Arabidopsis thaliana: one gene and its partners. The protein of the gene in region 3 interacts with the protein of the main gene of each other region in a biochemical or structural test. Each region holds a gene or a part of one and is shown on either strand. Other genes may lie near its edges.

What was found.
Region 1: the proteins of SAP18 (region 3) and ERF3 form a complex in vitro, tested with the Arabidopsis thaliana proteins (one study listed by BioGRID).
Region 2: the proteins of SAP18 (region 3) and HD1 form a complex in vitro, tested with the Arabidopsis thaliana proteins (one study listed by BioGRID).

The regions. Positions count from the first base shown.
Region 1 is NC_003070.9:18,754,146-18,764,458, forward strand, and holds ERF3 (ethylene responsive element binding factor 3), read right to left. Parts: upstream 4,564-10,313; 5' UTR 4,135-4,563; coding exon 3,457-4,134; 3' UTR 2,827-3,456; downstream 1-2,826. Other genes in the region: AT1G50650 (Stigma-specific Stig1 family protein), read right to left, coding at 9,628-10,152.
Region 2 is NC_003075.7:17,892,174-17,904,158, reverse strand, and holds HD1 (histone deacetylase 1), read left to right. Parts: upstream 1-4,649; 5' UTR 4,650-4,855; intron 4,856-5,096; 5' UTR 5,097-5,101; coding exon 5,102-5,629; intron 5,630-5,713; coding exon 5,714-6,154; intron 6,155-6,284; coding exon 6,285-6,515; intron 6,516-6,770; coding exon 6,771-6,841; intron 6,842-6,929; coding exon 6,930-6,987; intron 6,988-7,415; coding exon 7,416-7,487; coding exon of another isoform or gene 7,488-7,496; exon of another isoform or gene 7,497-7,561; coding exon 7,562-7,666; 3' UTR 7,667-7,881; downstream 7,882-11,985. Other genes in the region: pde191 (Mitochondrial transcription termination factor family protein), read right to left, coding at 255-363, 439-482, 764-1,747; AT4G38150 (Pentatricopeptide repeat (PPR) superfamily protein), read left to right, coding at 2,040-2,948; AT4G38140 (RING/U-box superfamily protein), read left to right, coding at 3,854-4,291; AT4G38120 (ARM repeat superfamily protein), read left to right, coding at 8,099-8,362, 8,437-8,615, 8,690-8,948, 9,027-9,094, 9,200-9,269, 9,388-9,753, 9,847-9,926, 10,008-10,059 and 5 more. UniProt on the Arabidopsis thaliana protein: Responsible for the deacetylation of lysine residues on the N-terminal part of the core histones (H2A, H2B, H3 and H4).
Region 3 is NC_003071.7:18,796,614-18,807,034, reverse strand, and holds SAP18 (SIN3 associated polypeptide P18), read left to right. Parts: upstream 1-5,651; 5' UTR 5,652-5,711; coding exon 5,712-5,822; intron 5,823-5,936; coding exon 5,937-5,969; intron 5,970-6,081; coding exon 6,082-6,192; intron 6,193-6,434; coding exon 6,435-6,530; intron 6,531-6,927; coding exon 6,928-7,002; intron 7,003-7,121; coding exon 7,122-7,154; 3' UTR 7,155-7,507; downstream 7,508-10,421. Other genes in the region: AGL6 (AGAMOUS-like 6), read right to left, coding at 744-840, 928-1,082, 1,176-1,217, 1,295-1,336, 1,410-1,509, 1,630-1,691, 1,822-1,900, 2,401-2,582; AT2G45630 (D-isomer specific 2-hydroxyacid dehydrogenase family protein), read right to left, coding at 9,946-10,421. UniProt on the Arabidopsis thaliana protein: Links the histone deacetylase complex to transcriptional repressors bound to chromatin. Involved in the tethering of the SIN3 complex to core histone proteins.

The DNA of each region.
Region 1 (10,313 bases), on a different chromosome or scaffold from region 3:
TAACCCATGTGTTTTATTCAGACCACCGTTGAAGCATCGCCACGCGTGCCGTTTGTCTGTTCCTAAATAACCATATTATCTTTTTAATCACTAAATTAGTCATTACAACAGCTATACACTCTTTTTGAATGTACGGTGATTTTCTTATTTGAATCACCGGCGGGGGATATCTTAAGTTTACTTGAAAAAAGTTTAACATTTAAGAGCATATGATTGTTTAACTCAAATAATGCTTATGATCGAATCGAATACCATGTTATCATTTACAAATTTTTAATTGAAATTGTTAATAATTGTGAATTATTTGAAATAAATTCGTTTGTTTGTATCTGGTTGATTACTTAGTGGCTATGTTTTATAGACACCATATGGAACCATATAACAAAACGGTGCTCAATTACTTATCTCACATGTTTATGAATTGATTTGTCTACCACAGTTTTTAACGTGATGAGTGAGGATGACCTACGTTTGGTTTTAGTGAAAGAACATAAATGAAAATGTTCCAATTGTTGACAAAATTTAACTCCTTCCATGATCTTTATGTTAAATTATCCTTTTGCATGCTTTATTACAACGATCATCTTTCTCTTTTCATCATATACGATTTTGGACTTCCATTATGATGCTAATCGAAATCATTTCTATGATCATATTTCTTTCGTCTAACATAATACATGACGAATTCACCGAGTACGACCATAGTAGTGTTTGTCTTGGGATTATTTTGTATATTAATTAATCTGGACATCTAAAAAGCCAGGCCCGAGCTTGTGAATAGCCCACGGCTCCAAGCCCATTATTAGCCAACAAACTGTATCTCGTTCCTTACTAAATATTCAATCTTTCTCAAATTCGAAGTGATAATCAATATTAACACTTTTTTTGGTTTTGTGAAAGGGTTTTCTAATCAATATTAACACTTTTGAATTACAGTTTATAAAACAATATCTTTAGATAAATTATTACATATAATTATAAGTTAAGATTAGGCATATTTGTTATCCAAATTTGATCTGTTATCCGACTCGTACACGTCTCAAAAAAATATTTGAAACCTTAGTATCGAATGAAGATAAAAAGTATTATAATTTTCTTATCTGCAAGTAAGTGTCAAATATCAGTATTAATTCTATTTTTTGTACCTGACCCATCACTCGCTTTATTCCCAAATTCGTAAATGTAGTTTTCATTAGTGTTTTATAATGTTACTTATATTTTTATAAATGTTTCCTTGGGTGAAAGTTAAAACCTAACTTCTAAAAACTGTTATTATTATTATCGATATATTTTAAACTTTGTAAATATTATGAATACATTTTTATTATTTATTATTAATTTTTTAATCTAAAAATCAAATTGATGCTCCAATAATATTTAGGTCCAAAATTCTAATAAAATTAACAAATAAAAAATAAGTCAATCAAATCAAAACAACTTGTCTAAAACATATATTAGGATTTGAAACTAGTCTTCTATGAAGTCTTCTCATTCTTGTCGGTTGCAATTTTTTTTCATTTTTCTCAGCTGCAAAATTGATCAAGCTTGTTGTTAATGTCTTCAATGGTGATCTTAATTGCATTTGTCGTCTTTTTTGGCTTCTGTGTGTGTCGCTTCCACTATATTAGTTGATTCTTTGTGAAGCATAAAATTCTTGCTATTCAATGTCGAGGCGGGGACACCGTGTTTGTATAAGTTCCACATATAAGGCATATGAGTCTTGAATCCTAAGACACCAACAAAGATGACAAATGGACCGATATGAAAACAAACTCTTCTCCCATTGCCCATCTCATCACACGACCCTCATGCCTCTTTGTTACAGTTACCAAATTTATTATTTATGTCGAATTGGTTGATTTAGTTAGAGTTGTGTGAAATTTTATATATCTACGGTATATTATATTATAGAATAAATTCTAGTCTCTTATACTAAAATAAAGTTATGATTTTTAATCCACGTAATTGTGGAATGAAATAATCAAATCTCAAATTTCCCAAATATTTAATAATAATAAAGGTTTGCAATATCCCTGCAATTAATTACTAATATATTGTTTCTTAAATGTTCTACATACTTTTTTTTGAACAAAAAATCTTCTATGATTTATCTCTAGTATAATCGCTGCAATTACATCACATTATTTTTTCGTAAATGTTCTATCATTATATATTTATACACTAATAAAGTTTGTTTTATATCTAACAAAAGATTCAAAGAAATTAGTTTTGGACAACAGTAAAAACAAATATGTGGGTTTGGTTAGGACCCAAAGGTCGTTTAATAGTGTTTGTGGCAGAAAAAGTAAAGTAAGATACTAGAATTTTAGGGTAACGCCGAACACAAAATCTAATCTAATGGGTCAAACACGAAAAGAATCTGCCTGCCACCATACACCTCTCAAAGATTTATTATCAATTGCCCACCAAACTCAACCAAAACAATTGTCTCAATTACCTATAAAAAAAACTTATTTAAAAAAAACAAAAGCTAGATTAAATACCCTTTTAGTACGTAAAATAAAGAAATTAGAAAAATATCACAAAAAAGACATCCAACAACACCACAATTTTTAGGTTTAAGAGACGTTTCGAAAACTTCTAAGTTCTAACAGCTTTTCCTAAACTTAAAATTTGTTTTCTGAAATTCTAAGAGTTTGGTAAATAATCCTGGAAAACATAAGATATAGCATACCCCTTATAACCTAATTACAAAAATTTAATTCAGAAAATATCAGAACCCAAGAACTTTAACAAGCTTTACCAATCTAAGATGACCATCTTGCAATTTTTTCCGATCTGGGCATTAATTTTGAAATTTTAAGATGTAAAATAAACAACCAAAAATCTTAATCTCTAATTAACCAAATCACTCACTGCTACAGAACTTGTTAAGATTCAATCCATGAACAGTTTACAAAACTAGCTTCATTTGTCTTTCTTCTAGCTTAATTCACGTGAACAAGAACTGATCTTTGAACAAAACTCATCAGAGCTCTAGAAGATGAAAAAAAGATTCTAGATTTTTTATTTAGAATCATGAGTGTTCCAAATGTATATGTTACAAAGATGGGGGTTGTTTGATCTATCTCAAGAAAAAAACGAAACCCAGATCTGCGTTTTTCTTACAGTAAAACAAACAGACACAACAGATCATCGTGTTCGGTCTTCTTCTTCTTGGTTTTGAAGATTTAGTAATAATAGTAAAATAATAATACTCTTACAATATCATCACAGAAGAAACACAGAACCAGCTCAAGCTCTCTCAAGCTCATCACCATCTTCTTCTTCTTCTTCGTTTCTTTGTCTTTCTATTTCTCCCGCATAGTAAAAATTATATGAGATCAACGAAACAGAAAATTTAAAAAAAAAAAAAAAAAGGATTTTGTTGTGTGTTTTCGATTAAAATCAAACCGATCACGGATCTGTGATTTTGATTTTGATTTTACCAATTCATTAGAGACGTAGATCGGTACAGTGAAGATCATCAGCGCCATTGAACAAGTCAACACAATCCAACGGTGGAAAATTAAGATCGAATTGAAACGGCGGATTCCGTCGCCGTGAAGACGATGCGATATCGTCGTCGTCGTCGATTACAGACGACGACGAATCGCAATCGCTGTGACAATCCTCCGGAACAACCGGTGGAGTTCTAGGATATCTCTTCGTCGTGGCCGGTTTCATCGTCGTAGGTCTGGGTCCGCTAAACGATTCAACGGTGCTGCTCATGCTGCTACTAGTAGGCCGGTTAACAATCGGGAACTGTTGTTGATGGTCGGTGAATAACCGGTGGTCCATAAACGGATCGACTTGGTTTTGATTTTGATTACGAATCTGATTAAATCGGAGATTAGGAGGAGGAGGAGAAGAAGAATCGATGGGGAAATTAGTTTTGGCTTTAGGACCACGGAGGTTACGAGCGGCGGAGTCGTAAGCGCGAGCAGCTTCTTCGGCGGAATCGAAAGTACCTAACCAAACACGAGCTTTTTTCCATGGATCACGGATCTCAGCTGCGAATCGTCCCCAAGGTCTCTTCCTTACGCCTCTGAATCTGATTTCTTTTACAGATCCGTTGATGGCGGCAACGACGGTAGGTCCGGCGACGGCGGAAGAGCCTCTTCCTCTCCTCATGATGGTGGATTTAAGAGAAAGCCAGAGGTAATGGTAATGGAGAAAGATCTAATAGAGATTGTTGAGAAAGAGAGAAAGAGAGAGGAAGATGAAGATGAGGGAGATGGTGGGAGGAATGGAGAAGATAGGAAACTCTCTCTTCAACACAAAAAGCTCTTCCTCTTCTTCTTTTCTTTTTTTTTCTTTTTTTTTTGTAATTTCAAAATGTTTTTAATAAATAAATTGTTTTTTTTGTTGTGATATTTTGAAATTTTTTAAGAATTTAAATTTGTAATATTTTGGTTGTAATAGTTTTTTTTTTTGTGCGCTCTCGAATGCTCTTCACGCCCGCCCCACAAGACCGACCAACTCGGTTTCTTATCATTTTGCTCTTTCTTTTCTTTTCGTTTTTTCTTCTTCTGTTTATTTGTTTTGATCAACCGATTTTAGAGATTACAAAACAAACCATTATTGTCAAGCTAAATTGGTGGTCAATAACCTTTTTTCTGTTCTCCTAGCCAAAATATTAGTCATGCAATTCCAAGATTAGCAAAAGAATAATAATAATAAGGGTAAGAATAAAATAAACTCATTTAAACTATTTTAGAAAATCGGTTATTTTGAAAAAAAAAAAATTTTGTTTTGTTGCAGATCAACACAAAATACCGTAGAAAGCAAAATTTTACTATAATGTTGTATTCGATTGTCATGCTTCTATGATTTATTTGTTTGACATTTTCTGATTGACACATTCTTACTCGACACTTGATTCCCTATTTTGAACATAAATTTCTCAACACTACAAAAATTATTGAAATTAAGATCATAATTGTTAAGGAAAGCATGAAAGGAGTCGAGTTGATAAAACTCTTTTTTTTTAACCCTTTGAATCATCTTATGTGATAATGTTATGTGATTCATTGATCTTAGGTTACAACTTCTCTAAACTGATTTTGTCAGTATTCGAAAACACAGCTCTAACGATACAATACTTTTGAATTACTTATTTCTAATAAAGAGATATTGTTAAAACTATTTGATTGTCTGTAAACGATTAAGTTCTTAATCGATGAAGAAGACATACTTGAAACGTGTATTCAAATAGAGGTTTGAGATTACTACTGGTTTGAATTTATTTTTTCAACAAATCATTTCATGTCAACCATAAATCTAGGAGTGGTGAATGACTTGATCTCTCAACAACTCTTATTTTTATGGTGTTGAGGAAGTGAATAAGAGCGAGTCTTCTGAGATGTAAAACAGAGCGACTTATTTTCTCACGCTCAATATTTGACTTTACAATTTCTCGTAGCTCTACCACGAATTGAACCAATCCATTAAGACCAAAGTTCTCATTTACACAATTCAATTTTATCAAGCCCACTTAACTTAAATAAAACTTGGTTCAACAGTCACAACTAACCATGCTTTAAATCTCAAATTAAGTTGCTAAAAAGAATTACCAAAATCTCGGCCAGCGGAAACATATAAACTGAAAATCAAGACTTTTAAAAATAGTTGTTTTGTCCATCATCGAGTAATAGTTTATGTCCCCGACTAAGGCAATAATAAAGATTGCTCGTCTAAAATGATTACGTGGATAATTTGGCTAAAAGGATTCTATCGATATAATTTTTTGATACTCAAACTTTTGTAGCAATGTCAAAGAATTTGTTTACTAACAGAACCAAACTCATATACGTTATGTTGCATTTCATTTGTGACATGATAACATATCGTGTGGTGTAGATTTTAAGGGTCCATATTACTCGTACGTACTATATTGACATTTTCGGAGTGTTATCTACTTGAAAATTTAAAAGTTGTTGAGCTTGTTAGATGTTTCATTGGTTAGAAGCTATTATTTCGTTTTTATAAACAAATTAAGAAAAACATATTGAGCCAGACAGTTTGCAGTTTATTCGATGCTCTATAAGTATCTCATTTTTGTTAAAATTTGGTTGAGCAAGGAAGCTATTTTCCTCTATAATTGTTGATAAAGAGATTCTTGCACTAAATAATCTATGGTTTTAGTGGATTCCAAAAATTGATATGGCAAGATGTAGGGAATCAAATCACTACTTTTATAAATATGAACTCATAATATCATGCGTATTCTTCGATTTTATTATTTCAGTGTTTTTGCTTGAGTTATCGCCATTCGAGAAATGTAAGTTTCAAAATGAGATTTTGAAAAATTTATTAAGTAAAGTTGAATTTTTAAACATTGGATTAAGTTCAACTGATTAACGGATTGGGCATCTTATTTTAGAACATGATTACAATCATCCAATGTGAACCAGATTCATTCTGTTTGTAAAATGCTATGTAGTTGGTTTGCAATAGATTTCTTTTAAAACCATTTCATATGTTCCATCCTTATCAACTATTCAACGTCTCTTTTTGTTTTTTGGCCCTATCAACTCCTGAAATGAGAACTGACAATCTAAGGACTTTACGAGTATACTACGAGCTTTTCTCGTTAGAAGCTTTAATTTAAAAACCCTAACATATTATACTGATATATCCTAAGATAAAATGATTATCTATTTATGTGATCGAGAGACTAAACTGTTGTAAAGATGATTAAAGTCCTATTATCTTCTTTGCGCACCTTCGTAACACTTTATAATTCAAATTAGTTATTTTTAAATTTAGGAATAATTTGAAGGTAGTTAGAACAAATTAGCAATTCAAATTCGAAACGCATCATCTCGATAACAAAAGAAAACAAACAAAGAGAATAAATAATTATTATTTTTCGAAAAAAGAAAAGGTGATATATAGAGAAAAAAAAAGAAAGAATGGTGTCTCGATAGGTGTGGTAAGAGGAGGAGACAAGGGAAAGAGATTGGCACTTGCTTCTCTGCTGCACTCTTCTTCTTCATTCCACCTCCCCCTAATTTTTTTATTATTCTTTTTTCTTTCTTTATACGCCACACCAAAAGACTCACAAATCTTATTATTTACTGAGAGTATTTTAGTAGTACTAAATCTAACAATAATAAACTTTCATAATATGATAATAGTCTAAATTTCTTAAAACCTTTCAATGTATTTTACGAAATTACAATACTAATTCAGAGTTTGATAGCAAAATAACAAAACCAAATTGTTACATTTTATGCAATTAAGTTGAGAAATTAATTAGTAATATTGTAGAATTGAGGAATTCTATAAATAAGTATATCGCGTAAAATAGTAAAAGCCATTATTAAATATAGAGATTATTGAAGTTTGCAAATTTATATCATTCTGTATTATTGTACAATTTAAAAATCAATATTCGACACTTTTAGTAGTCGTGTAGTATTTTTTTTTCCCATGTCAGCAAACATATTTTACTAATCAAAGTGAAAGAACACAAATTGTCGTGAAATCATTATTTTGTTACTCTACAAATTACTATTTAAAACATTATTGTTTGTTTCTATTTACAAAAGAGGTTAACATATACTTATTTTTTTGGTTCCATGAAATAAATGTGGTTGAAGTTAATAAAGAAAAGTCATGTTTAAGAGACGAGACATCACAGACGCGTTAACGAGTGGTGAAAAGTGGGACACAATAGAGTTTTTATTGATTCAGTTTGCTCCTTCCACGCTTTTTCATTTCTCTTTCGTCTTCCTAATGACATCTCCTCCTCAACTTTTTTTTATATTTCCCATCTTTCTATTTATTTATATAACAATTTTCTTAATATATTACTTCCAAGAAAACTCATATATCAAGGAGACTATTCAATTCATAGAATACATATTGTTAATGCAAAACTTTTATGTATAATGCAGTTACTGCTTAACCATTCAGAAAGAAATAAACTATTCTAGTAATGTTGGATACAGCACAACGTGTCACAGAACCGTTACATGTGTTATTACTAATTGATCTAGAACGATGACCTAAACTTTGATCAATTGTTAATAGGAAAACATTCACTTTTGCATAAGAACCAAAAACATCTTTAAACTAAACTTATCTTCCACGAGACCACGACCACATGGCACCATAGATATACATGTGTTGATACAATCCAATTTTTTTCTTCTTGTATGAATCGTAAAGGTATGTGTATATTCATTTGTATTTTTCATCCAATACTTTCAAATATATAGTCTATTATAAAAAAAGTTATAAACACAAATGACAAATAAATAAATTGAATAGCTTACATGTTAGAGTGTGGGTTCCACCAAACTAATTTCCAGTAAATTTAAACATTGAAAGATGTTGAACAAAAAGATAATAACATTGAAAGATAATAATGTGCTTATACTTTATACACACATCGAACTTAGTAGTTCACGAAAGGGACTCTTGTTTTAAGTGGTCAAAAAAGTTTATTTAAAAAAAAAAAATCAGTTCATTTATCTCAATGGTTTTGGGCCTTTGGCACATAGGTTACTATATAATCTAACTTGAATGAGATATATTTTATAAACAAATGGGCCTGATTACAAAAAAAAACTTATGGCCGAGATTCGTTACTTTACTCGGGTCGGAAAAAAATAAAAATTAAACCAGGACCGTTTAATTTTTTGTTAATTTTTTGTCCTGGTTGAATAGATATTGCATGGCTCGTTTCTGTCATTGTTGATGTAACTTTGAAAATACATCTTTGGGAATGGTCAATAAAGAATAAGTATAACAGTTGAGTTAAACCGATGCTAAACAATTAGTATTAGAGATTAGGCTATTGATCGAGTTTTGTCTACCAAAATAATGTAAAAGTAAAACCCAAAAAGAAAGAAAGAATGTAGGCCAAATATATCTTGCTCGAACAAGAGACCTTCAAAACAATTGCTCCAATCTAGAAACCAATCACACAAGTACATACGATGAAAATGTTGCTTAGTTATTTTATTATTGGACCTAACGAATTTTTAAAATCGAAATTCTCTAAGTCTCTAACGGAGGATCAGCCATGAAGATGACTAATTGGTTTCGACTCGTTTTAGATCTTATACGTAAACATGAAAGAAAAGCTAACATATCATCTTTATGTTGTCGGTTTGTGTTTGCTGTTTGCAATGGATAAGGAAGATAAATGAAAAGAAGGTTAAAAAGTTCGATGAACCTACGACATTTATAAATCCTATTCCTACCCATCATAGTGAAAAAAAACAAGTAAAGTAACATAAGATTAATTACAGCATGCATTATTTTCTATAAGATGCGTAAAACATAACTGTAAAATGTATAAATCCGCCTACATCATGTAATGTTGCTCGAAAATCATACATAATAATATCGGTTTTACGTTAATTTTAATTTTCGTAAAACCGAGTGAAGGATTAAACACACATATATTGACCATAACTATGAACCGACCATTTAACATTACAAATGACACCATACAAAATACCACGAAGCATTAACACAAACCACTCATATAACCAATTATTATCATTACAAAATAAAATTCATCGAAAAAATGAACTCTAACACACACAGAACAATGATAGTTAAACTCGAAGACTCGACCTCATCAGTATCTCACCACGTCACGCTTTATTATTCATCATCATGATCATCATAATTAAGTTTACTGTCCGGAGAAGGAGGAGGACGTGGCCGATGAAACTTGTGACGACGATGACGTTTTCCAGGCTGTGACGATGGAGCAGCATAACCACACATACCAAACTCACAAGGCGCACCGGATTCACACTCGTTCCCGCATTGTCCACAATTAGACGGATCAGTGTTCGTGTCCACACAATCTCCATCGCAGCACGACAATGCGAACCTACAACTCTTGAAACAGAACCGACAATGGTTTGGATCGGACAAGACATCAACGCATTGGTTACGACAACATCTCATTCGAGCCTCTGATGGTCCGGACCGTTTGCAAATCCATGGTTTACACATCGGTGGCTTTGGTCTACCCCAATTTGTTGTTGTAGCTGCTTTGATGTGGCTCTTAAGCCATGACGAGGTTGTGTTAAGTTGGTTATCGTGACCGAGAACATGATGAAGAAGTGAATTTAAGAGGAAGAAGATTAAGGCACACAATGTCAGCTTAATGCTCATCATTGAGATGACTTTGTGATGATGAGTTTAGTTATTTAGATCATTGATTGAGATGTCTAATTAATGAAGGGTTTATATAAGTTTGAAGAGAGAGAAAGATTTAGGGAGTGTTCATGATTTTCTTGCATGGATGATGATGTTATACAATGCATGTTACGTTCATC
Region 2 (11,985 bases), on a different chromosome or scaffold from region 3:
TTCTTGATTCAACTTTGATCGGAAAAACCGAAGAACAAAAACACCAGTCCAAGGAGAGAGAATAGAATAGCTACAAAACGTGAATAACAAAAGGGACTCTACTTGAAAGAGCATTTGAAGCAAAAAAAAACTTTCAAGTTTGGCCGGTTTAAAATACGGTTGATCTCATCCAAAAGAGAGAGCAGAGGGGGTTTCATTTTTATATGACAGGTACATACTATATAGGCAGAGAACGATCAACCATCTCTTTGTCATCAAATGTGACCTTTGACTAGGGGCCTCCATATTTGTGGAATGACTAGGGGCTTTTTACCCACCCATACTTCCGACAAGCAGCTAGACTGCATTGCTGCATATTCTGTTCTGCAGTTAGGCTAAGCAGACACTTCTTTTGCTTGTCGGTTGCTGCAATAATCACAAGCCAATAATGACACTGACTTATCCAACAACATATACATCCCATTTTGATTGCAGTTGAATACCTGAAAACACAGGAACCACTCTATGGATATGCACTTGATCGGGCCATGGTGGTGGTTCTATCATAATTAGGTAATTTTCAAAAGGAAGTGTAGAATCCATGATAAACGAATGCATAGTGAATAATCGATGATATCTGGAAGAAAACACTCTATTGATATCACAATCACTCAAGGAAAAGCTCGTGCTAGAAATTGGTGCACAAGCTGAAAACAGCTTACAGAGAGAGCCTGATGAAGGAAAAAACTAGAGAGAGATATAAAAGCTAGAAGCTTGCAGTTACCTCCGAAAAGCCAAACTTCTCATGGAATTTCTTTGTGTTACAGTCCAGCATTTCTCTAAGGCTGCAGTCAATGTTGTTCTTTTTGACAAGTTTAAACCTCGATTCGACCTTCTTCTTCAATCCATGGTGAAAGAATTCAGGATAAGAAGCCACTTCATCCATGCCTCTTCCCATCACCTGGACGAGGAATCTGATCCTAGGCTGTAGTGAATTCTTAACACTCTTAATCAAGATTTGGGGATAACCAGTGACCATGGTTGCTATCTGGGAATCTCCAAACCCACACTCCTTCAAATAATCATAATTTGGTTTGAGAATCTTGTTAACGTCTCTGCACAAAAGTTGTGGGAAATTCATGACCACCGACTTAATGCCATCCTCACTCAGGCCAACGGATGATTTCAAGAATTCAGTGGTAGGCCGTAACCTTTTATCAACACTGTACCCCATAAGAAATGGGTTCTTCACCAGAACTTTGCCAATCATCCCATCTTGATCAAGGCCAAGGCTAGCAAGAAAGCTGACGATCACTGTCAGCTTGGTGTCGATGCTGTAGCTGATAAGCCTTGGGTTAAAAAGTATCATTTTGCCAAGTTGAGTCTCAGGCACACCTAACGCTTGAAAGAAAGCAAGAAGGGGACAGAGTTTCTCCTCCACGCTATGAGAGAGTATTGGAGGAAATTTGGTAATGGCGGAAGCAACTTCCCGAGGATTCCTTCCAAGACTGGAGAGGCACTCGACCATCGGGATGAGTCTCTCATCGAGGCGTAAAGTCAGGATTTTGGGGCATCGAGAGACGATGTAAGGGAGTTTTCTCTCTTGGATACCAACAATGTTACTCAGGTAGTCCCAGTTTTCTGATGCCACATCGCTTTGAGCCTTTTCCAACTGTTTGCATTTTCTCAACATCTTGTCGATACTCGGATCATCGAAACCTTTGTCCCTGAAGAACCACATGATGCTGCTCGTATTTGTCACCTCCATATAAACGCCACTACAACACACCAATTTTGCTTAACTTAGAGATGATTCGAGCTTTAACAAGGAAGTAGAGAGGAATTTACCTTGGAGGAGAGCCTTTCCGGCTATCCAATTGAACTGAAAGTGAGAAGCTTATCCACACGGAGGAGTGAGGACCTTCTTTCTTTCTTATACCCCCTGTAGAGTAAATGACTGTTATATCCCTCAATCCTTCTCGCGTGACTAAACCCTCCCCTTCTTCTCTCTCCGTCAAAATCTGCAAAACCCTAACTTTTCGAATCAGCGGCAGATAACGATGGTGCCTTCCTCCAAAGCCGTCGTTTTTGCAAGGCAGATGGCGAAGCAGATTCGTGTTACGACGCCGTCGATGTCCGCAACACGCTTTCTCTCAACGGGCGACAATGGTCAAGTAGACGAGCAGCAGAACCCTCCAGAGCCCTTACCCAACAGACCCTTGCGAGGGGAGAGATCTTCCAACTCTCACAGAGAACCACCCGCTAGACAAGCCCACAACCTTGGAAAGAGTGATACTACTCTGTCTGACGATGGCTTCCTCGAACAGTTCAAGCTTGGAGTCAATCAGGATTCACGGGAAACCCCCAAACCGGAACAATACCCGCAGGAGCCCTTACCGCCGCCTGAGGATTCCGATGAGATCTTCAAGAAGATGAAGGAAGGAGGTCTCATCCCTAACGCCGTCGCCATGCTTGACGGCCTCTGCAAAGATGGGCTTGTACAAGAGGCCATGAAGCTTTTCGGATTGATGCGTGACAAGGGTACAATCCCTGAGGTCGTTATCTACACTGCTGTCGTTGAGGCCTTTTGCAAGGCTCATAAAATTGAAGACGCTAAGAGGATTTTCAGGAAAATGCAGAACAATGGGATTGCCCCTAATGCCTTCAGCTACGGTGTGTTGGTTCAGGGATTGTATAATTGCAACATGCTTGACGATGCTGTTGCTTTCTGTAGTGAGATGCTTGAGTCTGGTCACTCTCCTAACGTCCCCACTTTCGTTGAATTGGTTGATGCCTTGTGCAGAGTAAAGGGGGTTGAACAAGCCCAGTCCGCTATTGATACCTTAAACCAAAAAGGATTTGCCGTTAATGTTAAGGCTGTCAAGGAGTTCATGGATAAAAGGGCTCCATTTCCGTCTTTGGCTTGGGAAGCCATCTTCAAGAAGAAACCAACCGAGAAACCCTTCTGATTTACTTACGCAGTGCTGTTAAGTATGCCGTCTCAGTAAGATGTTTTCTTGACTTGTAATAACAACCTTGAAAGTGAAAATCAATATGAGTCTTCCTTTTTCTGCTTGGAGTCAGGTATCGAGTTTTTTTTTTTTTCCTATGTCCTTTAAAAATGTGTAGTTGTAGATGTAGTTCCCTGTTTTCATGCATTCTAATATTGATTGCAAGTTCAATGAATAGCGTTGTGTTGGCGGTATAGGGTGTCAAATTATGCTTGACGCTTATCAGTCATTACCAATGATGTATGTGACTGTCTATTGCAAATGTGGCCGACTTCATGAACAAATATGAACAATAGTATCATTGGTTACATACACCAGGCATAAAACTACATCATCCTCCAAAGGCACTGCTGATCTCAGGGACGTGGAGGTCTGTTCTGTAGAAGCTGGCGCTATATTGAATACAAAATGCGTGGAGTCAACATTAAAATAGTTTTTATGATTCACTCGGAGATCTTTACTTGATTTGGTCGGCTGTATTATATTCGTGAACTCGGAAGTCAAGGCCTGTCTTGATGGAAGAATGACTCCTTACTTTTAATATATATATAAATAATACACTGGATATGAATGCCATCTTTTGTTTGTTTACTTTTGGCGTCATGTGATTCTTGTATTGTTTACTATTGTTAAATGCAAGTATCAGGTAGTGCTTAAGATGGAAGCATGTGCATCTCGTATGTTGACCATAACCTCTCCAAGAGTTTTCTTGGAGTTGGGAGAATCGCTGACTTGATTAAAGAAAAACAACAAAAGAATATAATAAGAGATGGGAGGTGGGGTCGGCGCCGTCCCTACTCGATGATATTAGTCTATAAAAGAGAGGGAAGGAATGAGGTAAAGAAGCAGAAAGCTGGAGAAAGATGATTTCAATGTTGTTTCCGCGGTCGCCTTTGTGCACAGCAGCCATAGTATTCTACACATGTGTGTGCATTCCCTTGGGGAGGTTGAAGAAGAATGGTGGAGATGCGGATGCGCATGATGATGACGGTTACAACCTAGTGGGAGTGATGTTTGGGGACAAGGAAAAGGAGGAGGAAATTTGCTGCCCCATATGCCTGGTGGAGTTTGAGGCTGAGGATGCGGTGACCCATCTTCCCAGATGCGCTCATCTCTTCCATATCAATTGCATAGAACCTTGGCTTCTCCGTGGCCACCTCACTTGCCCTCTCTGCAGATCATTTGTATTGGCTCCAACTCCTCCTACACAAAATGTCAATAATGCACACTCCTCTTCCACCTTGTATCTCTCTATCTTCTTCTTTTTCTGTATCTTTCTCCATCTACTTGGATACTTGTAGCCTAGCTTCCTTGTTAACACACCCATTCTTTATTTAACATGTATTTTGTCTTAGTTTCCAAGCACATATTGTCTCCATCTCCTTTTCAATCAAGATTTTGTGGATTACTCAGTTTTATGATATACTGTACTAAACAGAGACAAAAGCAGCACGAGTTTAGTTTTACCAGCCTTGCCTAGTGCCTACTGCTGCTCTAGTGCTCTGTTTCCTAATTGATTTGTTACTCTGCGTAAGACCATTAAGTAAACGGGCTAAAGGCAACTTAATAGGCCTTATTTTTAAAACACATTAAAAGTGGGCCTCATTTTAAACCATAACAGATTAAAAGTGGGCCTTTCCATTATAAACTGAAAGTAGAAAAAGTTGGAAGAGAAGAGTAAGTAGGCTACAGTTTCAGTCAGAGGTGAAAGAAAATCTGAAAGCAAAGCAGAGAGCAGCTCCCTTCCCCTCGGCGAGGAGGAAGGAAGAAGAAAGCCAGAGAGAGAGAGAGAGATCATCGCAGCTTCTCCTCCGACCATTTGACTGCGACTGTGATTACAACACACCGTTGATCCTACGAAAAAGGTCAGTCAGACTCTCTTCCTTGTCTGCGTGATTCCATTTTCCGGCGTCTGTCTAGCCTCGCCGTCTTTTAATATCTTTCACTCGCCTTCCTGTCTCTTCTGCACACTAGATTTGATTTTTTCGTAACTTAAAAAAATGTTGTTGTTGTCATTCAAACGCGTCCATGGCTCAGCTACTCCGCGGCTAGGGTTTAGTTATCATTTTTTAATAATATAATTTTTATGGATCGGCGTGCGTGCAGAGGTAATGGATACTGGCGGCAATTCGCTGGCGTCCGGACCTGATGGTGTGAAGAGGAAAGTTTGTTATTTCTATGACCCTGAGGTCGGCAATTACTACTATGGCCAAGGTCATCCCATGAAGCCCCATCGCATCCGCATGACCCATGCCCTCCTCGCTCACTACGGTCTCCTTCAGCATATGCAGGTTCTCAAGCCCTTCCCTGCCCGCGACCGTGATCTCTGCCGCTTCCACGCCGACGACTATGTCTCTTTTCTCCGCAGCATTACCCCTGAAACCCAGCAAGATCAGATTCGCCAACTTAAGCGCTTCAATGTTGGTGAAGACTGTCCCGTCTTTGACGGCCTTTATTCCTTTTGCCAGACCTATGCTGGAGGATCTGTTGGTGGCTCTGTCAAGCTTAACCACGGCCTCTGCGATATTGCCATCAACTGGGCTGGTGGTCTCCATCACGCTAAGAAGTGCGAGGCCTCTGGCTTCTGTTACGTCAATGATATCGTCTTAGCTATCCTAGAGCTCCTTAAGCAGCATGAGGTTTGTCCACCTGCACCGTTTTGATATATGCTAGGGATGGTTATGTCGTTTCTGAATCTCTAACTCTTCCTCTCTCGTTTGCAGCGTGTTCTTTATGTCGATATTGATATCCACCACGGGGATGGAGTGGAGGAGGCATTTTATGCTACTGACAGGGTTATGACTGTCTCGTTTCATAAATTTGGTGATTACTTTCCCGGTACAGGTCACATTCAGGATATAGGTTATGGTAGCGGAAAGTACTATTCTCTCAATGTACCACTGGATGATGGAATCGATGATGAGAGCTATCATCTGTTATTCAAGCCCATCATGGGGAAAGTTATGGAAATTTTCCGACCAGGGGCTGTGGTATTGCAATGTGGTGCTGATTCATTGTCTGGTGATAGGTTGGGGTGCTTTAATCTTTCAATCAAAGGTCATGCTGAGTGCGTCAAATTTATGAGATCGTTCAATGTTCCCCTACTGCTCTTGGGTGGTGGTGGTTACACTATCCGCAATGTTGCCCGTTGCTGGTGCTACGAGGTACTTTCTTCTGTTCATTTTATGCTGCTCTAGCTTTGCATTGAAATTTCCTTGGTCTCTGTACCAAGGTTAGCCCTCTGTGACGCCTCTCTTTCTTTGAATTTATTACAACAAACTGTTTATATGACAGACTGGAGTTGCACTTGGAGTTGAAGTTGAAGACAAGATGCCGGAGCATGAATATTATGAATACTTTGGTCCAGACTATACACTTCACGTTGCTCCAAGTAACATGGAAAATAAGAATTCTCGTCAGATGCTTGAAGAGATTCGCAATGACCTTCTCCACAATCTCTCTAAGCTTCAGCATGCTCCAAGTGTACCATTTCAGGAAAGACCACCTGATACAGAGACTCCCGAGGTATGCCACTTGAGCAAATCATTTGAAGTGTGTTGGCTCCTTTATTTCTGTTGCCCATTCTTTCTTGCATTTCCTCATGGGTTTTGGTGAGCTTATCTAAGTGTAACTGCAGTTACAATAAGAATTTTCTAATTTAAACAGCTGGGCTGGTAAATAATGTTCGTCCAGTTAGATATGTATAAGTATTCCTTGATTGATGACTCTGGTTGTTACCAATCTTAGTTTTGTAAAATATGCCTTCTATGTAAATTATAGGTTGATGAAGACCAAGAAGATGGGGATAAAAGATGGGATCCGGATTCAGACATGGATGTTGATGATGACCGGTATGAAATATATATGTTTCCTCCCCTTTTTATTTTTGGTTCGAGTCAGCGGTGTAATGTTTACTTAATGTGGGATCGCATTGTGCAGTAAACCTATACCAAGCAGAGTAAAAAGAGAAGCTGTTGAACCAGATACAAAGGACAAGGTACTACAGCATTATCTCTTAATTGTTTCGATTTCTCAGACACTTTTTCTGGTACAAACATTTGAAGTCATTAGTTCATCTAGGTTTACAGCATTTTCCAGAACAGCACAATGTGCTCTGATAACATTACACTTTTTCTCATCCCGAGACCCAAAACCTAAAGATTCCAGAATGAGTCTCATTCTGACATTAAGTCAGTTAGTTTAAGCTGGAGATACATTCACATGAGGGTAGCGAATCTTTAGCTACGGTTAAATCATTTAGCCTAGGCTATTTATTTAGTATGCTCCCAGCTCCAACAATTGACCTGATTAGATAGTGTGACCGTCTAGCCAAGCTGAGCTGAATCATCTCTGCCTCTCAATTCCTAAAGCCGTCTCCTTTTCTTCCGAGATTAATTTATTTATCATGGCATGTTGTTCGTGCAGGATGGACTGAAAGGAATTATGGAGCGTGGAAAAGGTTGTGAGGTGGAGGTGGATGAGAGTGGAAGCACTAAGGTAAAATGAAGCAGTGGACAGGGCTGAAAAGGGTGGGAATGGTGGTTTTCTAAAGTGGTTAGTTTTGATTGCAGGTTACAGGAGTAAACCCAGTGGGAGTGGAGGAAGCAAGTGTGAAAATGGAAGAGGAAGGAACAAACAAGGGTGGGGCGGAGCAGGCGTTTCCTCCTAAAACATAAGACTCGGAGCTTCTAATTTCTTGCTACTTTTTCTGTCTATCAAATGTTGCTAGTTAAGTTTCTGGAGTTGTTGTTGTTGTAAGCACTCCTCTGTTTTAGAGGATTGAGCACGGATATGTATTTATTCGTTGCATGTCTGAATGATGATATGATATGACAAGACGAGCTATTCCTTTTGCTATATATTTATTGATTGGGCCGAAGAGATCTGCGTCTGCCCACCCCAAAAAAATAAAGAATTGATGTGCTAAACGCAGCAATGAACATCATCAACTAGTGAAGTGGGTGGAGAAGATGTTTTCCTGTAACACAATTGATTTCTAACTCTAAATTAAAAAAATGTAAATCCCTTTAAGACTATTAAGCGTCTCTCTGTCTGTCTCTCGTCGTTCTCGTTTTTGATTGCTTAGTTTTTTCCCGGGAGACTGAAACATGTTCACGGCGGCAGCTTCGTCAAGCGTGGGAAGGTGGCGGACGGCGTTTCTCTCTCTCAGGGACGAAATCTCAACCACTCCACCGCCGCCGGTTCCTCTGTTGCTCGAGGATCTACTCTTCTCTCAATCCCATTCCCTTATCTCTGCCGTCTCTCACCTCCCACTGCACGAGCTCACTTCCGATTGCTTGTTCCTGCTCGATTTGGTTTCCAAAGCTGATGGTCCTGACTGGATCCCTGTCTCTCGTCATACTTGTCAACTGGTGCGTCTTCTCCTTCTCTCCTCCCATCATTTCCTTGTTATTAATGGGATCTCTCCTCCTTTTTATTAATCCAGATTCACGATGTTTGTGCTCGTCTACTTTTCCAACTAAATTCTTCGTCATGGCCGCTCCTTCTTCACTCTTTTGCTTCTGTCTTGGAGTTTCTTCTTCGCCAACCCATGCCTTCTTCACCTTATTCCGCTGCCTATTTCTCCAGAATCGAACCTGTGATCCAATGCTTCGAGACTTTAAGGTTATTATATATCTTCTCACAATCTTGCTGACATTGTTTAAACCTTATTCGTAATCTCCTCTTCCTTTTCCCAGACGTTTGGCCCCTATGCATCCGGAGAACATTCATCTAGTCAAGTTTCTTGTGCGCGTAGTTCCTTTATTACACCAGGATTTAGTTTTATCCTATGGTTTCTCAAATCAAGACCCTTCTCCTACTTTACTTGTGGAAAAGAAACTGCCTCAACAGAATCGCTTATGGGATTCCATGGCTCTTGCCTTTGACATGTTTGGTAGAGCATTTTCTCTATCTGAGTCTTTGTTTCCTACTGACGTCTCCCAATGCACGCTAGAGGTAATCTTCCCCTTCACTGATCGATCCTCTCATTTCTCTCATATGCTTTGTTTCTCAACTTGGTGAATTCTCATATAGGTTCTAAGGAAAGTAATGGACGTATTAGCATCTAAGGGCCAGCTTGTCGAAGACCGATTCATGTGGAGGTATATGCCTTTGGTTTTGTGGAGACTACAATTTACTCCTTTTTTTCTGGGTTCTATTAGACTTGTTGCCCTCTTAGGTAATATTCATTTCTTAATTTTCTACAGCTTTTATTCATGCCTTCTAGGCTGTGTGCACGAGGTCCTTACAAATATCAAATGTCCTGTTTCTGATCACGTAAGTGGGTTCTTGATACCCTTTGCTCCTCCTCTTAGCCTTGGATAAGTGATTTTCTGGTTTAACCTCCATATCAGACTTTTTTCCTTTGTTTAAGCAGATTTTTTAAATGTTGCAGGTCTTAAGTTTCATAGCGTCATTGAGAATGTTTTTCTGTTTTGGACTTACTGGCCCACCTCAGTTATCAGTTTCTGATGTTGTTCACAACGATAAGCATTTGAATGTCAAGCTTTCTCCATTGATTTCTGGAGTAAGTAAGAATGCCAAGAATACTCCTTATAGGCCACCCCACTTGCGCAAGAGGGATGATTTGAACACTAGGCAGCCAGTGTCTTCAAGCTGGCGGCGCCTATCTGCTCATGATTCTGGTAGTTCTGATGTTATATCATCAGATTCCGATTTTAGTGACAGTGACGGCTCCGTACCGGATTCTTATTTTGCCCAAAGCTCCAAGGTTAGAATAGCTGCAATTGTTTGCATACAGGTGAGTAACAATGTATTATTCTTAGTTGGTTCTCATCTTCTACTTAACTTTTCAGTGACAATTACTTATTCATTTTCTTTTTTTCCTGTTAAGGATCTTTGCCAGGCTGATTCAAAGTCATTTACCACTCAGTGGGTGACTCTCTTTCCAACAAGTGATGTACTCAAGCCAAGGTGGAAAATTAACCTACAACATCTTTTGTCACCATACCGTAGTATTTTCTTGTCTCCTTAACTTTCCGAGATCATTAACAGGAAGTTTGAAGCTACTCTAATGACCTGCTTGCTTTTTGATCCTCATTTGAAGGTGGTTATTCTTGTCCCTTTTCAAGTAATTGAGGCACATATTTCGATGCTGTTCTTCATTTTTCACCTTCCCAATAACTTTTATGGTTAAGCAAGTATGTCTAGAGATGTTTTTGTGGCTCAACTTCATGACTGCTGAATCCTGACAATACTTTTTTGTTTACCTTGCAATGTCTAGGTAAGGATTGCATCTGCGTCAGCTCTTGCCACCATGATGGATGGGCCTTCATCTATTTTCCTTCAAGTGGCAGAGTACAAGGAATCTACTAAATATGGATCATTTATGCCCCTCTCCAATTCCCTTGGTCTAATATTAATGCAACTCCACACAGGTTTTCAACGACATTAATTGTCTTAACCTTTTTCTTCTTGTCTGGCTATTAGTTATTCCTTGTTAACCAAGATTTTTATGCCTTTCGTATGGGTGTAGGCATTCTACATTTGATTCACAGTGATAATCATGGTAGATTGTTGATTCAGCTGTTCAAGATCCTCTTGCTTCTAATATCAAGCACACCGTACGTACATTTCTTCTGTGTTTTATTTTATTAGCTCCTCATGATTAAAATGATATTCGTTTTATTGTAAAAGTATTGTATCTTTTTAAAGGTATTTGATATCCGTTATTATAAACCCATAATGGCTCTTGATTAAGATTTACATTTGAGTAAGTGAATTAGGAAAGCTTCATGAATACATGCGTAGACCCAGCTCCGTTTAGCTAATGTTATCTTCTTATTAAAATTTGCAACTACTTTTGGATTTTGTATGAGATTTTCATGTGTTCTTTAACGTTTGTTATCATTTTCAGTTACTCGAGAATGCCGGGAGAATTGCTGCCAAAAGTTATAATGTCTCTGCATGCTAGGATTAATGAGGGCTTTCCTTTCAAAAATGATAAAACTGGTCTGCTGGTTAGTGCTTCCTTTTCCTTATGTTGTTTTGTCTGTTAGCTGTCTTCGTTTATGATGGATATATGATTTTACATTTCATATCTAGGTTTTCATTCTTGGACTATCCTAGTTTCCATTAGCTAAAGTCATAGGATTTAAACTAATTTTAGTCGCATATAGAAATTTGTCGACTGAGGGATGCAATAGGAGGAGAATTTTTTTGGGATTTCTCTGGACGGTACAGGCATTAGACAAGGGCCTAGAGTCGTGTTTGGGAGATTTTTTGTCTCTGTTTATGTTTTGCAGTCCTTATCCAATCTATAAAATATGTTCTAGACTTCTAGTGCCTTTCTTTTCGCTGAATTCCTAATCCAAACAATCTTAAGTTTTCATTCACGGAGGAAAAGAAGAGGTATGGTAAGAACCAAGTAAAGATCTTTCTTCATTGATTAAACCAAAGACAGTATTGAGACTATTTCTAATAGAGGATTCTCAGCTCTGGACCCAATACCTAACCCACACCAATACCATTCCCCAATGATTATCATTTTCGCCACTCTATCGAAGCCTTCCCACATTTGATGGTTGGTTATACTGAGCTGGGAACTCAGGCTTTTAACTTGCTGAATAAAATTTTCTCTGAACTCTAGCTTCTTTTATAAATATTGGTCCTGTGAATGCCATACCTATGTCATGATCTGTTTTATACAGGTTGCCGCAATAGGTTGCCTGTCAGCTGCATTTTCCACCTTTCCTCCTCAAATGAAAGTGCATAATATGCTTTTGGATGAGACATCAGCAGGTTGACCTTATCTTGCGCCTGTTCATTATGACTACTGTCCTAACCAGAATCTTATTATAATATTTGACATGCTTGTTTGAAGTCATTTCAGGATTCAATGGATGTGAATGGAATTCAGGAGTTCTTTCTACTTTATTTCGTTTTGCTGAGCAATTTTCTGACGCATCAACATGCATTGAGGCTCTTCAGGTATTAGGTTGTTCTTATTATAGTATTTCCCTTCTAAGGAGTT
Region 3 (10,421 bases):
AGCCCATAAATATAAGAGAGTATTAAAAACTTAAATTCTAGTATGTAAAAAAAAAAAAAAAACCTCAATAAATATGAAGACTTTATGGAAAAGACATATATCAACAACAGTAAAGTTTGCTAAAGAAAGAGGAGCTCTTCTCTTCCAAAAGTCAAATCAAGAAACAGCAATGTGGGTCCTACCTGGCTTCATATCATTGCGCTTTTTCCAAGGTCAACTACGTGGCATTTTATTATTCGTTCATTTTTTTAGTTACAGGTTGATTTCATTTACTCACCCAATTGTTTCGGAAGTTCATTACTCCTACTTGCGTAGTTGAGCTGAATCCTCCTTTGATTATTCGTCACCCAATTGATTCGACGTCGCACGATTTATTATTTGTTCCTACTATTCACAATTCAGCATTCATAAATATATGTCTGAGATTTAATAGTATTCATGCCAAATAAATCTATTCATTTAATTGATTTTAGAACAATTATTAAAGTTTATTTCATTTGGAAAATGTTGGTAAAACCAAAACAAAAATAATGTTTTAGATCAAGTAGGAGTAAGAGGAGAAATTCTTCAAAGCACATACATGCGAATATAGATTCACACGAGCTGGAAATTAAATGACAAACATCTAGTGCAAAAGTTTTTCTTATAGGAAAAAAAAACCCAGAAATCTAATTTGAAAAAAGAACAACTGTAGAGAGCTGAAATTGGCCTGACCGTGGCATCGTGGTCTAATCAACAGAGAGTCAAAGAACCCAACCTTGGACGAAATTAGTCTCACCTGCCACGTTACTCTTTGATACCGAAGACCCTTCACCTTGCACGTAGTAATGTTGTTGAAACCTAATCCAAATACCAAACAAGTCTTATAATCATATCTTATTTCTATCCATTTATTTGTAAGGGCCGGGAAAAATGGTATATTCTTACCCTATTTGTAAAAAGGGTTCGGTGTTGCAATCCAATACATTAGGATGAGAAGGCTCTACCGGAAATTCAGAATTGTTTGGATCCCCGGCCACCGATGCCGCCGAGTTTGCCCATAAGTCTTGAAAGGTTTTGAAAGCATGGCCTTCCGTTTCAAACTATTGAAAATTTATGTTTAGTTAAGATCCAAATGTCATAATTAATTATATGAGAAGTTATAATATAATTTTGCGATGTCTAGAAATAAAAACCTTAATCTTGAGTTGTTTGTTTATGTCTCCTAGTTGCCTCTCCTGCCATTTCAAACATAGATTGATTGATATGCATATATGTTTTGCAGTTTGGTATGAAACATTTTTATATAACTTGCCTTTTTCCTAAGGTCTTCCATTTCTTCCATCATAACTTGTGTCTGCATATTTTAGTTGAATGTTTTAGTTATGAATATATTTTTAATGAAACAAGACCAGTCTAGATCATGTGACCTTGCGCTGTCGAGTCGCGGTAAGAGCGGCTTCGAGCTGCCTCTCGAGCGCTTGCAGTTCCTTCACACCCATTTCTCCAAGATCTTCTCCAAGCAAATTCCTTTTATAATTAGCAATTATCAACACCCATAACAATAGATTTGTAACTATACATATATAATGGAAGATGACAATAACGATTTAATTTCAAGGGGTTATAGAAAACTCTTAATTACTAGACCTGTTAGTACGAACAAGAGATTCGTATTTGGATTTAAGCTTTGTCACCTCCTGACACCAACTCTGCACCATATAGATTATATGAAATGCATATATATAGTAACATGAGAATTTGAGAAAATAGAGTTAGCTAGAATCATTATCATCAGAAACAATAATTGTAAATATATTCAAAGTACGTACACACACTTGCCTGTGTAGTCTCTTCAGGCTTATTATTGCTTAGAGAGCAGTTGTAACAACGATTATACCGTTCGATTGTGCTTTCAATTCTACAAATTCAATTAAAACAAAAATGGGAGATCATTAGCTCGATTCAACAAATAAAGATTCTTCTTACGACAAGAACTCAAGTTATATATCTTACACACTGATCTAAAAGGGAAAACCCTAGTTTGTTTGTTTTTTTTTTTTTTAAAGCTAGAATTAAACCCATTTGAAACCTGTCATCTGTAAGATTAAAGAATCAAAGGAATTCATGAATGGGAAATCAACAAATTATAACGTACGGAAGGACCTATTAGCTTATGATAAAGGATCCAAGAGGGAGACACGATATAACGATGAACCCTAATTACCACAGGATAAACGATACAACCATTAAGAATAACCACAAGATCAAAACATGATCCGACTCTTGAATCGTACGATGTAACAAGTAGCAAATGAACCCATTTATTAATCAATTTTCATATAAAAAACATAGCTTTATTGGATGAATCTTAATATATATAGCACAAAAGTTGGTTCAAAGGAGCAAAGATATATATACCCAACACTACCAAACTCGTAGAGCTTGCCACGGCTTGAGAAGATGATGAGAGCAACTTCGGCATCGCAAAGAACAGAAAGCTCATAAGCTTTCTTCAGCAAACCGTTTCTTCTTTTTGAGAAGGTCACTTGTCTATTAATCTTGTTCTCTATCCTCTTCATCTCCACTCTCCCTCTTCCCATCTTTCTCTCTCCTTCTCTTGATTCTGATTTCTTCTTCTTCTCAAGAATTGGTAACTTTTTTTCAAGAATAGATAAAAGGAATAAAGTATCGTACACGATAAATGTGTTGCTATATATATAAACTTGTATTACTTTCAATTCTTCTTGTTACAGGTTAATATGGTGCGTTATTACATAAATCCTTTTTAATTAATTATTAGTCGTCCTAAGTATGTGAAAGTGGCACCAACAAATGAGATATTTGTTGTTGAAGAAATTAAATATAAATATCGTCATATATTTGATGGAACAAAATGATAACTCTGTCTTCATCGTTATAGCTAGATTCCTAAAAATGGAAATCTACTTGTAACAGTCGGACCATTGAAAATTCCTTTTATTTTCTCTTTTTAATTATTAGGACTCTTTTCTTTTCTTTTTTGCTTTTTTTACATAGAGCGCGATGTTTCAAATTCAAACTAACTCATTTTGTTTCCAAATGTTATGGCTCATGTTCTTCTATAACTAGTTATTGTACCCTTTTCAAGCTATCCTAGCGTGTTCTTTTATTTGATGCTGCGCCAGCGGCAATAGCGGACTGAAACGACGTGTCATGAGAAGTAGTAGGTAAGTAAAACGACATTAAAGCTTGAAAATAACAATTTCGGATGAGTCGCCGATGATAGCCGATGAATTGCAATTGCATCAAATGAATCGCTGAAATTAAGCAGCGTCACGTCAATCTTCATCATCGTACATCTTTTGCGGCAGTTCTTCTCTAATCAATGTATTTTTTCTCGCCGCAGATCTGTTTTTCTTCTTTGTTGTCGCTGACGCTGCGTTCATTAAAAGAACACGCTAAATTAAATAGAAAATTTGGTTTTCTAATGCGGTGAAGGATTGATATATTATACTCGCAACCATGTATCTTGATTGAACCGTGATTCAATATGTTTGGTTAAAATGTCTACTTGATCTAAAATCGGACGAAGTAAACTACGTGCGAAATTAATGCTGATTGGTTTTACAAATTTGTGAACTTTTATTTGGTCAATGAAAAGGGGCAGAAAATTCATCATTGTTTTGAAGCTCTCGCAGAGCTGGTTAAATATAGTAAGATGTTGGGTTAGGTAAAATTGTCTTTAAAAATGTTTACCTCTGAAAATGATTGAAAAATGAGATATTTTCCTATATATATATATATATATGTATGTATTATTTACTTACAGTTTGATACATATATATGTATTCATTCATATATATATATGCAATCATTTACTTACAGTTTAATTGCTAATATCTGAATGATTATTTTTAATCAATTTTTTGATGTTTTTGTCCCTTGTTGTATCTGCATCATTTGATATGTTGACGATTCTTTCAACGTTATTCATCAAAACGGTAACTAATTAATTTTAGGTTTTAAACTTGGAAGTTAAATAGGGGACATTTCACTTTTTCTACAAATTTTTTCGACAGTTCAATGGAAAACGTCAAGTTAATTTTCGGCTAATGAGATATTGAAGCTCAATGGAGTTAATTAACAGATCATAAATGAAACACGTGTAAGGGAATCTGCTACTCTTTTGTATTGTAGGCCTTAACTTTTTTTATCGATCAGTCGGCGTGTCAGTGTCTTGTGGTCTTAAGGAAAAATATCCGAACCTCATCATCTCCACGAGTTAAATAGTATATATCCTTCTTCTTCGTACGAGGTTAAGACAACTAAAATCTTAAAAAATAAATTAAATACTTAAAATCAATGAATCGTTTCATATATATACATATATATATATATAATATTTATGTGCTTCGATTAATTAGTACATGTAACTATTTTACGAACGTTTAGTTATCGCCCATTTGCACATAAGTTTACAAACAAACATAGAATCATCACATTATATATTGTGCAAAATTCAAATACAAGATGATAAATCTTTACATCTTCAACTACAAACACGATATATGATATCAAGTTATCAACCAATCAAGAGCTGTAATCTAGTAGTTTTTTATTTTTTGTTAAAAAGTTGTAATCTAGTAGTTTCATTTTCATCTATCTTTTTACATTATAGAAAAATGAAAGTATAGAAAAATGAAAGCTTATCAAAAGTTAGTGGGCTACATCTACATTATATTAAAAAAATATATATATATATATATATATATATATATATATATATATATATCAATAACTAGATCGGACAGTGACCAAACCAATCTCGTTGTGTCCAATCCAAGAAAATAACAAAGGAAAGTCGTACGTTTGATGATATAAAAACCTTTTTATGTTTGGACGAGTTTCATAGAACATGGTGGACAAAATTATAGTACTATATACTATTTAGTATCTCCTTTTGAAAAACAGTAAGCCATGTAAATGAATTTGTACAATTAACAGCTATTTAAAAAGCAAAAAAAAAAACAGTGAATGTTTATTTACAAAGTTCCGAAGGGAAGAGGTTGTGGTAGTGGTTAGGGGCATGCCAAATACGGAAAGGGAGGCAAAGAAGATCGGGTAGTCTTCATAATTTCATACTTTTCACTTTGTAGTAATCTTTCCTTTTCTTTTTTAATTTCATCACCAATGTTTCTTTGTTCAAATTCATATCCACACACTCTTTTGGAAATGGCACTGCAGCTTCATGTGAGGTGTGGGGTCATTGCGCCTTATCGTCTGAAAATGTTACCCTCTTGACATTCAATGACCCCATTTTCTTATTTTCCATAATTTCTTTTACCATTTTACTATAACAAGAATGATGCAAAAGGAATAGGCAAAAAACAGCATATTATTTTTTAGTGGGATCCTAGTAGGTCACTTGAAGTCTCTATGCATTGATTATGGATTGCTATATTTGTCTCTCTTTTTATTTTTGAATTTCGAGTTAGTGATCTTCAATGTGTGTTTCAAATATAGATATTCAAAGGTTATAAACCAAGAAAAGAAAAAGTAGAAAAAAAATATATATATTTCAAATCTTTTAAACGGACCATTGGCAACAAAATCTATAAACGAGTTAGGCCCAAATTGTTGTACAAAAGGCCCATTAGGTTAAATAAGTATGGGCCTAAAGCGGTCCGATCAATCTCTGTGCCATTACCTTCTTCTTCGTCGTAGTGATTTCTCTCGAGAGAAAAAGAGAGATGGCTGAAGCAGCGAGAAGACAAGGTGGTGGGAGACCATTACCGCCACCTCCGAGAGGCGTTAACCAACAACCTCCTCGCCCTAAACCTGAACCTGTCGATCGTGAAAAGGTTTGTGTTCGATTTCATTATTCGCGAATCGTTGAATCATCATCCTTTAGGGTTTCCTTTTAGGGTTTTTATCTGTACTTATTGATTTCTTTATCTTTAACCTTCGAATCGCAGACATGTCCCCTTCTTCTTCGTGTTTTCACCAAGGTACTCTTCTTCACTGATTTTACTGAATGCAAGTTTAATCACTGGAGAACTGGCTATGTTTGTTTCTGAATTAGTCTGCAAATTAGGATTAATTGGGTAGGTTTGATTGCAGAGTGGTGGTCATCATACTAGTGAAGATTATGCTGTGAGAGGCAAAGAACCAAAGGATGAAGTTCAAATCTACACTTGGAAAGATGCCAGTCTTCGCGAGCTAACAGATTTGGTATGTCTTCTACCATTAAGATTTAGATTGGGTGCTTGAGACAACAATAAAGCAGCTTGCTTTGAGAACTTTTCTTGTGTAGTTTTGTTTTTACAAATATGACGGATTTTCAGCTAAAGGACTCACTTTGTTTTTACTGCTGAGGAGTGCTGATTAAAATTCACATTTTTGGGGGTTTTGTGTAACGTACAAAGGTGATGCTTCTCTCATAAGCACAATGTTAAATCACGTTTTCATTGCAGGTTAAAGAAGTTTCTGTAGCAGCTAGGAGAAGGAATGCTAGATTGTCTTTTGCGTTTGTTTATCCTAACAATAAAGGTGGCTATAATGTGAGAGAGGTAAGATTACGTTCTCTTCACAATCTTGATCAGATAAGTTGTCACCGTAGCCACGCATGATCATTGATGCATTCTAGAGTTTCTGTGTTTTCCCCTGCCACACCTCTTTGTCGCACATGTAGCTACCAGTATCATTCGGAGTTTTGTCAACAATGTTTCTCTTGTACATGTCTTTCGCTTATTGACAACTCATCTTCTCATGGTTATTGATTTTTGAAACTTCAGAGAGACCACATAATCATAGCTAGTTACTACAGAATGAAGTAATTTGATTGAATGGATGCTTTCAGATTCAATCGTTATGGCTTTACTTGTTCTCTTGTGATGTTTGCATATGTATTCAAGAACCCATGAGAAGAGTCTGATCTTGTGGTGTTGTTTCTGTTAATTGATAAAGGTTGGGGAGACGATGGCTTATCCAAACCGAAAACAACCAGATGACAGTAAAACGCTTTCCGAACTTCCGTTTGAGGTAAGTTTTTTACATGCATAGAAGATCATCTTGTATGATGATTATATAGTCTATAACATTAATTTTTCATATTCTGTTACCCAAGTAGCTATAACTGAAGTTGATCAATCTATCTGCAGATTGGAGATTATCTGGATGTGGCAATTTACTAGGAGGTTTCTGTTTCTTGTTAAGTGGGATTTGGGTGCGTGCACAATGGAAGAAGTACACATTCATATGGTTGTATCATCTTAAACTTCGTTTAGACATGTTTGTATTTTTTGGATCTAGTCTATGTACTAATGTCTAATGGTTTAGTATGTTATCCTGCTTTTTTTGTTTAACGTGTTTTCTTTTCTAAAGAACCAAAAAAAAGATGGAAGAACTCAAGCCATTTTATATACAAAAAGGTATAAATTTAGACTATCTATAGACTATAGCACATGAATATGTATTAAATTAAGATTTCAACCCAATTTACTTTTATTAGTAGAATTAATACTCGCACTTAACGTCGGAGAAGTAGCTGAGAAAAAGAAATCGTGAAAAAAATGAGAGAAGAGGATGAATTTAGACAACATTAATCATCAAAACTATAGTGATAAACATAGAAGAGTGGGCAATGCATTTCAAATATTCTCAAAAATAAAGATATAGTTATGGAATTATACAAAAGTTTAATAGCAAAATATGAACGTTGCGTTTACGATTCCCTATATTGTTCCAACGTTAAGTTTGATTAGACTTGAAAGTTGAAAGTATAATAAAATTTAAACGTTGAAACGGTAACATTTTATTACCGTTAGAAGATAATATTTTATTACAAAAATTCAGATAAATGGCTCTCTATAAATACTCCCATCTTGGGTCAGAAATCGGAATCCTCTTCATTGGTTCATATTTTACAAAATGTCGAGAAACAATCTGTTTTTATTTCTTAATTCTGGTTCTTCCACTTGAGTCAAGACCTCATTCAAACAAACATAAAGCATCATCCTTACAAGGTAAAATACTCTGGTCTAAATCCTCTAGTGTTTACCGTTAAATGGTTTTTTTTTTTTTCATTAAATGGTTCTTAGTAGTTTGTTCACCTGTTCTTCATCTTTTAGTCATCTTTTAGGGAGTTGAACATGAAATTCAATGTCTGTGTTGTAAATCCATTGTGTATGTATATGTATTGCTGGCTTAACTTCAATGATTAGGACAATAAACTGATTTTTAGCTATATTTGTTTCTTTCATAAACTGAGCATTTTAGTTAGATATATATATGTTCTGTCTAAAATGAATTTCATTTGCTGTGTTTTAAATCCATTTTTTGTGTATATGTATTGCTGGCTTAACTTCAACGACTAGGAAAATATTTTTAGCCATATTTGCTTCTATCATAAAACATTTTTAGTTATGTATCGGTTCTGTCTAAATGAAAACATAGAAAAAGGTTTTTATTTTATGAAAAAACAAAGATAGAATAGGTTGCCTATAAAATGCTTTTGATTTTTTTGTAAATAATATATGCATATACCAAAAATGATAAACGAAAAAAAAACGATTGTAATGGAATATTGATTTTCGTTAATTAATTTTGCAAGGGTTGATGAAGAAGGGAAAACAAAGCCTTTGGGACTCTATCCAGCGTGTTGCAATCAAGCTTTGCTAGCCTTTGTTGAATTTTACTAGATTGTGCATGTGGCAATCTAGTGATTTTGTATCTTTTTTCTTTCCTGATAAGATACATGGATGTGTATAAATGGGCGTATAGTGATGTGTAAGGTGCGTATAGATGAATGTATAGGCGTAGATGAATGTATAGATGCATGTATAGGCGTAGATGAATGTTTAGTGATGTGTAAGGTGTGCGCATAGATGAATGTATAGGCATAGATGTATGTATAGGCGTAGATGAATATGTAGGTGTAGATGGGCGTATTAGTAGAGTGTGTGAGCGTAGAACATTAGACAAACGAGGGACAAAAATGCGCAACGCGGGCCGTAGCCAAAGAAAAAACGCGAAGCTTAACAAAACACAAAAAAAAAACAGACGCCAAATCGCAAAGTCAAAGCGACATAGTCGAAACATGTAACAAATGGCAAAAACAAATAAAGCATAGTTGAAACTCTAACAAAGACAAGATTAATCCGTGTCGAAAGACAAAATTAATCTAAGTCGAAATTATCAAAAACACTTTAAAAATAAAAAACAACTGAAAAAGTTATTAAAGCGACTTCAAAATAACACTAAAATAATCGAAAGAGAAAATTAATAAGTCGAAATTATCAAAAACACTTTAAAAATAAAAAACAACTGAAAAAGTTATTAAAGCGACTTCAAAATAACACTAAAATAACATTAATATCCTTTAAAAACACCAACTTTCGAAATCTATTAGGTTACGGCTATAAGTCAGAATGTGCAATTGAATTACTTTCATGCAGACTTCGGCTACATTATCAAAAATCGAATAACTTTCGAGTCATGTTGAAAAATGTTTAGGATTTACGATGTGTCAATGAGAATTGGGAATTGGAAGTGTCAATGGGAATTCGAAAATTTAAACATGATCCAGAGTTCATGCAAAAATTTAAACCAGATCCAACAAAAAGTAGTAAACTGACTGATGATTTAGATTTAAATGTGACATTTTTCCCATACTCCTAACGATCGATAGCCAAAAACACAATTCCAACGTTCGCTAGTTGAAACGCCCAAAACTGAACGTCAAAATACAACTTGCTTACGTCATAATAACATTGAAGAAAAAATAAAACCAAAGGTGAAAAATAGAATGTCAGAATGTCACCTATCAAAATAACACGTTAAAATTTGCCTATGCACATAAGAAAAGCAATCGTTCGAAACACTGAAACTATGTAAATCAATCATACAACTGCCATGAAAGAGCGAAAAAAACAACCCAAATGTAGGACTCAAACTTTCCCAGCTTAACCTTGGCGATGAGACCCATCAAAGAACAGGAGTTAAAAGAGGTTTATTGGAGAAGAAAGCTTCAATATTCCCTACTACAACTTTCCCAAGTTCTTCAAGACCTTCCAATGTCATAAAAGCACTATGTGGAGAGAAAACAACATTATCCAATTCAAAAAGCTCCTTCGGAACATTAGGCTCATCTTCAAAAACATCCAAACCAGCACCACCAATCTCACCTTCTCTCAAACATCTCACCATTTCTTCCTCATCGATTATAGCCCCACGAGCCACGTTAACGATCACTCCTCGCTTTCCCAGAGCAGAAAGAACATCTTTATTAATCAAACGCAATGTCTTCTCATTCAATTCACAACAGATTATGAGTGCATCACTATTAGCTGCCATCTCCTCTATATCCATGTAATAGTGATATGGAACATCATATGGTTTTCTGTTTCTTGAGCTATATGAAATTTGGCAACCAAAGGCGTCGAGCCTTGTCGCTACTTTCG